Linked DNA regions of Lytechinus pictus. Each later gene encodes a partner of the first gene's protein in a complex. Links are inferred from orthologs where the notes say so. Each region holds a gene or a part of one and is shown on either strand. Other genes may lie near its edges.

Region 1 (7,233 bases):
TGTGATTAGAGGAGCTTTTTAAAACATCTCAGGTGATTCCTGTCAGTGTAAAGGTTTGCAGAGTCGAAGAAGAAATAAATAGCTCCTGAGTAAAGTTGAGTGATCCCTTTGGTTTGAATGAAGGTACATGTAAGAAGTGCACAAGTTTGTGTCATTTACAAAGACTAGATTTAAAGGGGAAGTTCACCCTGACGAAAGGTTTGTTGCAAGAATACCAGAAAAAAATAAAAATAACTATTGGTAAAGGTTTGAGGAAAATTCATCAAAGTTATCAGAATTTTAAATTCTTGATTTGTGATGCCAGGTTGAACTTCCCCTTTAAACTGAACATTTTCTCATAAGTACATTATAATATGAAAAATATTCACTGATTTCCAATTATTCAAAAAGAATTATTTTTAGGATGACCAGGATGAATAATTGAATAATTCTTGGGGGATGGGGGTTAAAATAGAAGGAAGTACATTGTGAGTCATATTACAAAATCTTTTCAATAATTTACTCAGCCGATTCATAACTTTTCCACATACTGTACATATGTAATAACACCCATAAAAAGACAAAAACAGTAATAAATTTAAGGTCCTTAGTACTTACAGTGTGTGTACTGTACAACTAATGAAACTGTGTGTGTTATTTCTGTCACAAATTCTGACAAATGTTTCAAGAAAGAAATTCTAGAATTGTACAAAGAGAATGAGTATATCTAAAGTAATTAATATTCATTCAATCCATTATAACGGCTATCCATTCAATTCATTGCATTTTTTATCCACCATATTCATGTACTTTGAAAGCTCAAAGGTCTACGATTTTGTTTGATATATAAACTAGATGGGCTGTCCTCTTTTCTTGAGTAAACAATTAGCTTTTATTCATGGAAATAGCCATGTCATGTTGAGGGGATAACTTCCCAGTTCTTTGCGAAAAAAACTGTTATATTTTGTACTTTGTTCTCTACAAAGAAATAGAAGTTTGTTTTTAGATGAAAATGATTTTGTTTATTATGCAATACTGAAAACATATGTGGAGCTTGAATGAAAGTTATATCACTGTAATCTAATGACTAAAATATTAATTTCTTAAGGTACTTTCACCTTAGTTATATTCATGTATAATAGTTGAAATATCATTGTATTGCAATACAAAAGTTATTGTAAATATAGCAAAAAGAAATTAGAAGAACAAAGTCATATGAATTTGAATTGTTTTTCCTTTTGCTTTCATAATGAAGAAAAATATTTCAATTATCATTCCCAGACAATTATGAATAATTTGAGTGTCCAATAAGTTCATAAATTGAATGTGTACTGTTAGGGATTTTTGCCCCATTTGGCTCTCCATACTTAAACCACAACTTTAAACCAGGGTTCAGTTTTAATAAACCCGAGTTCAGAATACGGGCCATATTGTTTTCAGTCCCCAGAAGAAACTACCAATTCCTGTGGGATTTTATTATACTCAAATAAAATGGCCATGCATAGATGTGGAAAAAAGAAATATTGGACATAATAAAGTAGGCCTACACATATTCAGAGCTGCCAAGTTGTATTTTGCATTTTCATTATTCTTATCCCCCAAAATCAGTATTTTGACAAAAAAATTTGACAAAATTTTGACAAAAAAATTTACCGTGTGAGATAAATATTTTGTATTTTTCCCCCCAAAAGTGTATTTCATAATAAAATGCTTGGCGCACTCGCCCATCACGGCGCTCAAGCTGCATGCAAGCTAAAATGTGCACTGCTCTTGCAGATGAAAAAAAAAAACATTGAAACTTGTGTATATCTCACCCTGGTTTTTACAAAATGATTGAAAAAAAAAAAAGAAGTTACCTGAAATTACATTGATCTAATAACCATATTTGTGTACGTTTTATGAAATAGAGACATATAGAGATGATTTTTCTCAATAAATTTTTATTTTGTAAAAAAAATAAATAACGTACTACTTGGCAGCTCTGCATATTCATTCTTTTAAAAATAAATGTATTGTACATTTTGTACTTGTTGGATTGCAAGGTAGATCTGTAATAAAAACAAATTTGACACCTTGTTCACATGGGACTAATAAAGCAATAATAACACAATAATAATGACTTAATCAGATATACATGTACGAGACAAACACGTACGGTAAGATAATTAGATTTTTAATTATCTGTGTTGCTACTGTACACTGGTACAAACGGAAATGTACAAATGTAATAGTGATATTGAAATATCTAGATATGAAATTAACTGGTCTTGACAGGAACATCAAATAATTATCAAATAATTGCCTGCAAAAGAGAATCATATATCCTAAATCGCTATGGGGGCAGTCCAAACGTTAGCAGCAATAAGTTCATTTTCCCTAAAACCAAGTGTCGGTCAATTATTATACCGTACAGTTGCAAATACTAAACAATTGGTTTCCAATATTCTTATTTTGTAGTGCTCATTAAACTAACAATTTTGTATCTGCTAGGCTGTCAGTCCTCTGGAAAATGTTGGCATATCAATTATAATAGGCCTATACAATAAACTTTGACATGTACAGTGACTAAAATGCAACATTTGGTTCTTTGGTTCATTATGAAAGTGAACCAAGAAGAGAGGAAACGATAAAAAGGGAGCTTTTGAGGGGAAAATATGAATGAACATGGCAAACATTTTGGGGTAGTGTGCAGAAGTTTTTGAAATTACAGCTATTTGCCTTGTTGATTGTATTCTTTTTAAATCATGATGAACAAAAAAAGGCTATATCAATATCAAAATTCTTCACACACTCATGATAAAACCTTGGAAAGTATTCTTTTTATTATGCCAGAAGGGAAAAAAAGAGTTTCAACAGTCCAGTAGGATATCATAGAAAAATTTGCAGGTCAATTTTCAAATGTGACATAAATTTTTATCAAATACTGGGCATCAGCAGAAAAGCAAGACAAGGCAAGATTGATCAATTCCTTGAATTTCTCAGCATGAAATGAGATACAATTACCCTTCTGAACTTAGAACACATAACTAACACATTATACAGAATATGCCAATTAATGGTGAATTTGTTTGCATATGAACGATGCGATGAAGATTGTACTGATCAAAGAGTTCAGTGAAGTTTGTTTAGTTTACTTTAGATAGTGGTAAAACCACACATACCACCCTCTAAATAAATAAATTTATAACTTTATATATGAATATATTATGCTATACCAAATGGGAAATGTATCAAAAGTATATTACATCCATAAATACATCATGAATGTTCTGATTCACTTATACGTTGAAAGTACATTATATCCCTGGTAGGAACGCATTTAAAACTTAATTCTTATCACTGATAAAAAACTTGAAAAGTGAAGATCAAAGTATTTTGTTTAAATACTAAGTTTAAAAATCAAATACCTGTGCAATTGAATATAAATACTTTGTATTGTAATGTCTACTGTGGTAAAATACTAAAATGTGATAGAATTTGAGTGGAATGTCTTTTTTTCATGAATAATATTACCAGGTGATAACACAGTAAACTTTGATGGGAAATTACAAAAATGCATGTTGTTTCATTACATGTACATAATTATTTACAATATCTGTAGTAGTAGTAGTACTTAATTTAACAGAATAGATTAATCAATTATATGCTATAATGAAAGAAAACGGAGAAGGTACCTGTTTCCAGATGGCCAATATTTTCATTATTTCTGCTTAAAACTCTGATCTCTACTTTTACTATACATACAACCTCTGTAGCTATATGTATCACCAAGCTATCTTTTCCAATTTATCTTTTCCAATTTACTCAAAATAAGTATTAACAACAATACACTAAAAGGTAAACTAAACATTGACAATCATCAACCCACTTAGAGTTATTACTTGCCATTAAAGGTGGTCAATTAAGCCCAGTAGCCCAGTCACTCACGTAATTAAATCCGATGTTATCTCTCTCCGATGACCAAATTAACAAACACTCCCCCTTCCGCTTAAAGTTCAATACCAGCCGGTTAGTTGTTGTCGGTGTCGGTCTTTTGCCAATGTGGCAGTGCTGAACTGACTGAACAAATCTCTCTCTTTCTTAATACAGAGATAGACACACACACACCACTAAGAAAACATGCAGCTGGACCACTATGGCTAAGTTCTCAAAGAATACACAATAGTTCTATTCTATGCAAGAATGGATCCTCCTATATTGCAGCGCACGATACTCCCCGGCTTCCCCCCTTTGGTTTAGTGGTAGAAGGTTCATGTATTTCATGCATTGCCATTGGAGCGAGCACACTTGGTATGTACTCTGAGGGGTGCTGCCCAAGCTTTGGGCTGGGCACACAACCAAGAACAGGGGTGTATGCGTAATAAGAGCGAGGGTGAGGGGAACAATAGGCGGCATACCTATATGACAATAGGAGAGCTCAACACAAATATATGTGACTCACTACACAAGGGACACAGTTCAGTGGGCATAGGGCGAGAATAGTCTCCGGAATCAGACCGTCATGTTATTATATAATTATCATCCAAATGGTTGTAAAGTTTATATCGTTAAACTCATCTCCATCCACTAATGTTAAGTTGTTAACAATAAAGTTGTTATGAATTCTTTTTTTTTTGGAACTTTAGATAAAAGTATCGGTTAGCATAATGTGCCCTGAGTGTCGATCTGGGAGACAAACAACAATGGACTTGATTTCTCTTTTTATTCTATCATTTTTGCTTGTAATCTTTATGGGAGAGGTGACGATGACACAAGTTCTTGCCAACAAGAACCTTTTTTGTTCTTTTTTTTTTTTAATCCCACACAAAATGGAAGTACCCTATTAAATAAATCCAGGGCCCACCCTTGCTTGAAAACATATTAAAACATTAGGGCATAAATATATAAAAGCCAAGTTCAAAACAATTTTTTTTCAGACTTGGAGTGTGAGATAATAGATATATGTATAGTAAGTCTACATCTCCCTAAGATAAGACACATTCAACTTGTTAACACTCGATACGAAATGTTATAACAAGTACATGTAGTATGCCACTGAAATAATTATAGCTTCAAAACTGAGAATTGGAAGTAAGTTATATAAAACAAATGCTGACTTAAGTTAAAGTTGATAAGATTCTTTTTATTGTTCAACTTTAAAACTTAACAAATATTACTGGGTCATGGGCAATAAAGGTGACTTCCAGAGTCATTCTAAAGTTTAATATATGAAAATAATGCATACACCTGTAGGGAGGGAGGAAATGATATTCTTGTGATTTTTCTGGCTTGAAAATTATTTTTCCCATGATTAGGATATTTAAAGCGAAAACTTACAAATGATTATAGTTTGCAAATTTGATAGACGCTTATGAAGGAAGGAAATAAATGTAACTTAATGAAATCACTAAGGATAAAACATTTTGCATTGATCCTGAAATTCTGAAGTATATTTTACGGACCAAAACAAGAATTTCAATGACGAAGCAGTAGTCAACAATAAAACAGAGTCTGAAGTGCAAGACTAGAAGTAAACTGTGAAAGAGGCGAGGCAGTTTTGCACCGGGTGAACTTTGCACAGTTTTTATTTATCTCAGATAGGATGATCATCATTCTAAACATCTTCATAATATCTGCCTCGTATCATCGAATGCAAAACATGATTAGACTAAGTTGATGTGCTGCCAGACTGAAGCATCATGGGCCTGTTTCATATTTGCGATAACAGTCAAAAGCTACTGAAATACTGAAATTTGATTGGCTGACTGATGACAGTAAATTTGTAATAGAAACTACAGGTGAATTTGTTGTTATAACATGTCTATTTGAAACAGGGCCCAGATGTAAAATTGCTGAAATAGTTGAAACTGTATAAATTCAAGCTTACTATTATGCTGAGAAACATTAGTCCAGGATAGGCCCCGTAGAAACTTGACCAAACCTTGTTTTCTTATATATACAATATTTTTTAATGGTTTCTTGTCAATTCGAGGGTGCTGATTACGAATCTGGATGATGCCACTCGTGTAACCTTGAGCATTTTCCGCAAATTGGCGAAATCAAATATGGCCGCCAAAATATGCAAATTACCCATAAAAATCCTAAAATTGTCCGCACATTGGCTATGAAATGCATGAAATCGTGTAGCAGGAGTGAAATACTCTCTGAAAAAAATAATTTTTGACAAAATATTTATTTTCTGATATTCAAAGTGGCCGCCATAGGCCCTTGTATACTCTATTATGTACAATATGAATAGGGAAAACTAATTTTCACAAAAATGAGCACTAAACCGCAAAAAAATTGTGATGTATGAACGAAGTAATATATGCAAATCATCATTACTAACAAGATATATCATTTATTATGTCATATATGGGGATATTGCTGTATTTTGATATCTAAAAGCCCCCACTGGCCCAAGAGTATTATGTACAATGGCAATGACCGGGGTCCAAAAAAATGACAAGAGTGAGCACTAAAATGCATATTATTAAGATAAACGAGTGGAATACTGACTAAAAGCATAATTGCCATCATTGCCATTAATATACCATTTATGTGATAAATGCTGTATTTTGACATTCAAAATGGCCGCCATAGGCCCTATATTTATCATGTACAATGCGAAAGGAGAAACTAATTTTCACAAGAGTGAGAATCATAAAATGCATATAACTGTGATATACGAGTAAAAATATTGTCTTAAATATGATTTCTAAGTGAATAGATCACATATTGGTCGTGGAGGTAATAAATGCAGTACTTTGAAATCCAAAATGATTGCCATAGGTCCTAAAAGTATTGTGTACATTGTAACATGGGACATATAATTTTGACAGAATTTGGCTTTGCTTGACTCTAAATATTGCATATAATTGTGAATTGTGAAAGGGTGAAATATTGTCTAAAACCATGGTTTCTACCGAGATATATCATATCATGTGTAATTAAGTTGATAAATGCTGCATTTTAAAATTGAAAATGGCCACCATAGGCCCTTAACGTATAATATACAATATGAGTGGAGACAAATAATGTTCACAAAAAGGGCATATGGCAGCCATTTTGAATGTTGAAATACAGTATTTATCACCTAAATTACATAGGATATGATATATTTTGTTATAAATCATGTTTTCAGACAATATTTCCCTCATACATCACCATTTGGCCAAGCAAAGCCAAATTCCGTTGAAATAATTTGTTCCCATTCACATTGTGCATAGTATCATAAGGGCCTGTAGCGGCCATTTTGACTTTTTAATAACAGTA
Region 2 (7,233 bases), on another chromosome or scaffold:
AAACAAACAATCATTATTTGTAAATAATGAAAAACAAATAATCATTATTTATAAATAATGAAAAACAAATAATCATTATTTATAAATAATGAAAAACAAATAATCATTATTTATAAATAATGGAATGTCGAACTATTATTATTTACAAATAATGAAGTATTACTTGGAATTATATATAAATAATTAGAAATGATATTTTATATAATAGTAGTTATTTACAAATAAAATGTAAATTATATATAAATAATAGTTATTATTTAATAAATAATGATTATATAACAAATAATTGTTCTATATAATATTGGTACATTCGGCGCCTCATAGAATCCCCGTTAAATTACGAGAACTTTTTTAAGCTGAAAAATACCCATTAATTATTCCTGCATTCACACCGCCCTGAAACATACCCTTCGGGATAAGTTCCTGAAGTTACGAGCATGCGCAGTATGGTCTGATAAGCAGCAAGGCGCGAAATTCAAAATCACTAGCCCAGCAGCAACCCATGCACGGCGCCGCACCTAACGACACGCTGGGCTAAAAGTTCCCGTAATTTGCTTTCAGACCGCCAAAATACCCACGACCTTGGAAAAATCCCCGCGAAAGTTCTCGTAATTTCGCCAAGTACCTACTATTTATCGGGTATTTTCTTTCGGGGATATTACGCGTAGTTTGCTTTCACACCGCCAAAATACCTGGTATTTTCTGATCGGGGTAAATTTCCCGATCAGAGAATACCTGGAACTGGCGAACTTCGAGGCGGTCTGAAACCACCTAGAGTAAGATAGTGTAACGTATAAGATAATATAAAGATAAGATAAGACAAGACAAGATAAGTTAGGTTAGATAAGATAGATAAGATAAGATCAGATAAGACAAGGCAAGAAAAGTTAGATGATATAAGAAGAAAAAAATATGCGACAAAATAAGATAAGATAAGGTTGAATAAGATAAAATCAGACTAGATAAGGCGATCAAAGTGTCGACTGAGCAAAAATGTTGTTAAAGGCTCACAAGCAGTCAAAACTTATTTCGTTTTTGTTCCAAATCATATTACTTTGTTAAGGCATGGTTAACGAAGCTGAATTTTGTACATTCTGAAAACGAGTCATAAATGCTCAATGGAATTAATGAGATGTCATTTCATATATTCCGTATTGTTCTCTTAATAAGCATGTCCTTTCTCCACAATGACCTCCACAAACGGCTCACTTTAGATGAATGTTCCCTTTTAGATGACGACGTTAAACAGATTTTAGAAAAGCAATTACGAGAGAGAACAGACGCACTTCAAACTTTGCACATTGAACTTTTATATCTGAAATACATTATCCCATAATAATTATTGTGTTTTTAGCACGACTGCTTTTCGGCTTGAAGCTATCATCGACGATATAAACTGCCTGAATCCTAATAGATTCATCTTTCACCAACCTTACTTTAAATTCCTTTTCTCGACAGTTGGTGATCATCTTAGATTTAGCATGACATTTGTGACGATATCGTGATATTTATTTATTTGTTTTGTTTTATATAGAACTATGGTAATATGAACGACATAGACCCTATATTCTCCCCATATGGCGAGAAAACGATAACTCCTTTTACCGACGAACCTGTTTGAGAGGCCCGTTTCATAAAACTTAATTCATAACAATTATTTGCAGTAATATTTTTAGCTACTCAAATCATTCAATGTGATTGGCAAACTTGTTAGCCTATAGCAATTTTGCATTTGTTATGATAATAAGTCTTAATCAAATGGGCCCCAGACCCCCGATCAAAGTATACCTCTTTTCCAAATTAAATTCGAAATAGTCGCTTTCAAAGATTCAAAAAAAGGGAAATTAATTTTTTGATCTTAAAACATTTTTTATTGATTTATTGATTTGTTTTGTAGGGGGGGGGGGGGGTAGTCAACTGTTTGTGAAGTCGTGAGATTGAGGGACCAGTAAGGAGAAAAAGGGGGTGAACCAAGGCAGCGAGGGGTGCAAGAACATGGTCTTAGGCAACGGGGGCGGCGGGGGTAGCTGCCCCCAGAAGTTTTGAAAATCTACATTTTTTTACTTCAAACTTTCGCAAAATCCACCAAAACTGTGTACAAAATCCTTAATTTTTCACCTTTAAAAATGCAAAGCGCCCCAATAAATAGCTTGGTCGCTTCGTTCCTTCGCTTTCGAGTTTCTTCGAAAAATTGTACGCGTCCTGCCCCTCCCGGAACAATTTCAGTGGCCTTTAAAAATACTTACTGCTTGTATTTTTTTAGTTGTGAGTAAAGCTGGGCCTGGTCTTTCTCGTACTCAAGAGTAGCCCTCACCTGGGTGGATAGAGAGAGATGGATTGAAAACATAATTAAACCACTGACATAAAACAAATTTATGTTCAAACAAAGAAAAAGTATCACGATTCAATTAATTATAAAGTAGTAGTAGAAGTAGTAGTAGTAGCAGTAGTAGTAGTAGTAGTAGTAGTAGTAGTAGTACTAGTAGTACTAGTAGTAGTATAGTAGTAGTAGTAGTAGTAGTAGTAGTAGTAGTAGTAGTAGTAGTAGTAGTAGTAGTAGTAGTAATAGTAAAAAATGACATTATTTGAACAGATAAAGTAAAATCGGACAAACAAAGCACTGAAAATAATCAAAATCGTCTAAGGAATGACATTTTTAAAGTACTTTCAGGCCAACGTGCTCCGCTTATCATCAAATTTACATTACCTTCGCTTAGAAGTACAATGACAAACAATGCGAAAGTATATTTGTATTTAGGATAATACTAATCGAATTAATAACAAATTAGTGATGACTCATCACTAATTTGTTATTAATTCGATTAGTATTATCCTAAATACTGATGAGCTGTCTAAACTTAAAGGAGAACTATATTGATTATGAATGTGGTCTTATTATATGTCAATGGAAAGGTAATGATGTGGGGATTATCAGTGGGTCATTCAAAAATAACGAAAATAATACATAAGGTGAAAATCGCCGATTAAAAAACGCTCAAAATGCCTCTCCGAAATATGCCTCGCATCGGTCTCTGAATTGACTTGAATTTGATGACGTCACTTTCTGTACGAGATGCGTGATTGGCTCTCCCACGTGAAGCTCCACTTGCATGCAAAACCTGTTGCGAGGGTACGGTTTCTCCACACTGTCACTGAATACTTCGATCACGAAATGAAAGAAAACCCAGAATTTTATCTAGATTTGGATTTTCAAATTGATGATTTTGAAGATGAAGAGAATGATGATGAAATGAACAACAAAGTGACGTAGTTGGAGGTAAATTGGGGGAATTACGCCGATGATGATGAGTCGGACAATTCAACTTGCAACATGATCACATGCCGATTCGCTACCTAACTCATGCAGCTGCTAAGTGCTAGCTACACCGCGCGGGCCAAATTGAATTCATGAAAATGAATTACCACACTGTCCAGACAGAGTCTCTTACCTCTGTGACTATGAAGAAGGAAAATAATGATAAAACTGTACTTACAAACAAGTGAATGTAATCCGAACCTGAAGGCAACTCAACGAATAGCAGCAGACGATATGCACCGACGATAAACTTCATGTGGCTGGGATAGATTGTCACTAGATGTAATTTTTATCTCATTAATTTGACAAAATTACGAAACTCGGGGAATTATTTATCTATATAAAAATATAGTAACATCTCGTATTATTTTTTAAATTACGATAAAACCTTTTAAAAGCTCGTATATGTGATCGTATTCAAAATCACAAACATGCCGTATTGCTTGCTCGCCGTGGCTGAGAGAGTAGATCTATGCACGTGTTGCACAGCTCTCAATCAAGCTACGCATGTTGGGGATCTTTTACATCTAATTTTAATTTACCTCAATGTTTTCCTTCAAAAAACGTTTTATCGTAATTTAAAAATTATACGAGATGTTACTATATTTTTATATAGATAAATAATTCCCCGAGTTTCGTAATTTTGTCAAATTAATGAGATAAAAATTACATCTAACAGAACGAGTGACAATCTATCCCAGCCACATGAATTTTATCATCGGTGCATATCGTCTGCTGCTATTCGTTGAGTTGATTTGCCTTCAGGTTCGGATTACATTCACTTATTTGTAAGTACAGTTTTAATCATTATTTTCCTTCTTCATAGTCACAGAAGTAAGAGACTCTGTCTGGACAGTGTGGCAAGTCATTTTCGTGAATTCAATTTGGCACGCGCGGTGTAGCTAGCACTTAGCAGCTGCATGAGTTGGTAGCGAATCGGCATGTGATCGTGTTGCAAGTTGAATTGTCCGACTCCTCATCATCGATTCCCCCAATTTACCCCCAACTACGTCACTTTGTTGTTCACTTCATCATCATTCTCTTCATCTTCAAAATCATCAATTTGAAAATCCAAATCTAGATAAAATTCTGGGTTTTCTTTCATTTCGTGATCGAAGTATTCAGTGACAATGTGGAGAAAACGTACCCTCGCAACAGGTTTTGCATGCAAGTGGAGCTTCACGTGGGAGAGCCAAACACGCCTCTCGTACAGAAAGTGACGTCATAAAAAATCCCCAATTTCGCGGACGTAATTCTGCGTGTTTGAAGCATTTAGAGAGAGAACTTTAAACTATCAATTAACTGAGTTCCATCGGTCTCTATGATAAATGATGTACACCATCGTGTTCTCCTTATTTTCTCCTTTGATTTGATATATGATTCTCCATTTTTACGATTTTCAATATATTTCTCCTTTAAAAGTCATGTCACGCTGTTCAGTTTACAGTCATTTTCAATTATATAATGTACAGCCGGGGGAAGGATTCCAGAATGGCGTTTTTTTTTACAAAGAACCCCCCCCCCCTGAAAATCATGCAAAAACACTGGACCCCACTGGCTTCAAGGAGAGGGGTATTAGAGTAATAACCCCTTATTTTTTTTATATTTTGCTTGTCAAAATAACATCGGACGGGAAGTTCGCATTATGGAGACCTATATTGAAATCTTTGAAGAAAAAATAGGCCTCTGTTTAGGCCCCTCCCTGTAAGAAAAAATGAATCCGCCAGTTTTGGTATACAATTTTGTTTTAGCAACAATGGTTAACCATTAAAAAAATGATAAATATGCCATAAATGGTACACTGTAAAAACTGAGGTGTTAAAACTGACACCAGTTGGTGTTAATAGAGGACCACACCCTGAGGTGTTAAAATTACACCCTAGGGATTGAACATAACACCAAAGGGTGTTGATGTGACAACCAAAGGTGTTGTAACACTGTCAATTTAACACCGGTGAAAAATAACTGGTATGGTCCTCTATGTACACCGGTTAACACGACAGTCTTTGTTGTGTATGTTAGACCAAGCCAGCTGTAGAAGTTGGAGCAGAAATAAGAATGTGCATGAATAAGACCAGACGGATATCATAAAGACTTTGTACAGCATGTTTTTTTTTATCATGGACGTTGTCTTTCCTGAATCCTTTTTCTTATATAATATCCAGTTCAATTCATTATTTCATTGCCATTCAAACACAATACAGGGTAATATAAATCAGATGCAAACTAACAATTGACATTTTAAAGAAAAGCAGTATAAAATAGAACTGATGGAAAGGAAATGGAAATGTTACAATTATATTCTTGACGTTATTTTTATCAAACAAACTTGCACGTTCCCTAGCTCTTATGTAATTTAATATTTATTTGATAACTGAGTGATCTTTTATGTTTATATGAATAACATTATATGAATAACACTATGGGCTATAAAAAAATCAATAAAAACACAGCAACCGTTGTCGCCATAATTGAGTCAAAATTCCACAAAAAATATTGATCGGAAAATGACGAGTTTTACCATTACAAGCCTACTTTGTTTCTCGTGTCTCAAATGCAAATGCCTCTAATGAAATATAATAAAAGTATATGGAAAGAGGCCTATATATCACTAAAACCTCATGATGAAAGCATCAATTTGAATTAAATCACACCTTACTTATTTCATTTTCTTTGTTTTATATTTTTCAGATACTTTTTGCTAATTAGAGCATGACGGCCCATAAAAGTGCATACCATGAAAAAAAAAATTGTACGAAATAAGAAAGCTAGTGTTTGAAAATATAACCAACCACCAGGGGCGGATCTAGAATTTTTGAAAAGGGGGGCTTTTTTATATAGAAAAAAAAAACCTGCCCCAAGAAGGTCTTCATTTCCTAATTATGGTGATTTATGTCACGAAAAATTTGACAAGCAAAACGCAGTCCTCACTTGACTTGCGCATGCACGTTTTGCACTAACAAATATATTTATGGTTCTCAAAAGGGGGCACGGGACATGCACTAATTATAAAATCATTCATTGTTGAATATAAATGAACATTTTCAATTTTCAATCGAAATTTTGTTTATGCGTCATGAGACGAGATTGCTAAAACAACGTACATGATTTGGTATCAAACTTCTACATAAATTTAGTATCAATCCAAAGCATGATTACTAAAATTATTTTTTCCAGTAAAAGAATGAATAATATGCTTATTTTTTAACAAACCGTATTTGAAGTTTCTTACCCTATTATTGAAGTCCTGAGTCACTGCGTGGTCCATTGTAAAATTATCTATATTCCGAATTGTTCTCTTTTGTGAATACAACAGCTTTACGTTTCCGAATGAATTGATCTGAATGAGAACAATGTCTCCCGTGTAAATACGGCTATTGATATCATACAACTCAAACGGTCGGTGATATATTGCATTTAACTGACGTGGAATGATATTTGTAGATTTCTGGCACAGGTGTCCCCCCTACCGGAGAGTTCAAAGTGCGAAGTCCTTTTTGTTGGGCGTACGAGGAGAATTATGATTCTGCACATGTCGCTCCTCTTATAACCATCAACATAGCTCTCTCGAAATAATGCGTGCGCTTTCATCTTTCTAAGGCTAATCTTTAGGGAACCCTGCCAGCTGTTTGATTTTGTCATGGAGACGTAATATTATAACTAATGTCAGGGGGGAAATAAATGATGATAATAGGTAAAGAGTCAAGTTATGATAGAATGATGAAAGGGAGGGACATCATTTTTGTCCTTAAAAGAGGGGGAGGGCAAGTGGATGGCAAATAAACTGTTGGGGAAAAGGGTGGATGTTCATGTTTCTTAATTCACTATTTCTTTAGACAATTTGGGGGAGTCAAATGCCCACAATGTCCCCCTCCCCCTACAAGGGGGGGGGGGCGTCAATAAATAAACTCTACAGT

What was found. The genes of interacting proteins can lie anywhere in the genome.
Region 2: the proteins of myosin-VIIa-like (region 1) and harmonin-like are in contact, whole or in part, in a crystal structure (PDB 5MV9), measured with the Homo sapiens proteins. The link is inferred for Lytechinus pictus from reciprocal best matches to the Homo sapiens genes MYO7A and USH1C. Residues at the interface, in NP_000251.3 of Homo sapiens: Phe1946, Val1953, Ala1976, Lys1995, Lys1996, Trp1998, Gln2017, Pro2020, Lys2021, Arg2024, Tyr2026, Ser2112, Ala2113, Phe2114, Phe2115, Glu2116, Val2117, Lys2118, Ile2128, Ser2161, Gly2163, Asn2164, Thr2165, Tyr2166, His2168, Leu2181, Glu2183, Thr2184, Ser2185, Leu2186; in NP_001284693.1 of Homo sapiens: Glu450, Pro456, Ile457, Val461, Val462, Ser463, Tyr466, Glu467, Lys479, Gly480, Pro522, Tyr526, Asp527, Asp528, Glu529, Leu530, Thr531, Phe532, Phe533.

What each region holds. Positions count from the first base shown.
Region 1 is NC_087260.1:11,317,003-11,324,235, forward strand, and holds the start of myosin-VIIa-like, read right to left. Parts: upstream 4,354-7,233; 5' UTR 3,907-4,353; exon of another isoform or gene 3,865-3,906; intron 1-3,864. UniProt on the Homo sapiens protein: Myosins are actin-based motor molecules with ATPase activity. Unconventional myosins serve in intracellular movements. Their highly divergent tails bind to membranous compartments, which are then moved relative to actin filaments.
Region 2 is NC_087253.1:25,237,907-25,245,139, reverse strand, and holds the start of harmonin-like, read right to left. Parts: upstream 3,815-7,233; 5' UTR 3,573-3,814; coding exon 3,495-3,572; intron 2,315-3,494; coding exon 2,247-2,314; intron 1-2,246. UniProt on the Homo sapiens protein: Anchoring/scaffolding protein that is a part of the functional network formed by USH1C, USH1G, CDH23 and MYO7A that mediates mechanotransduction in cochlear hair cells. Required for normal development and maintenance of cochlear hair cell bundles.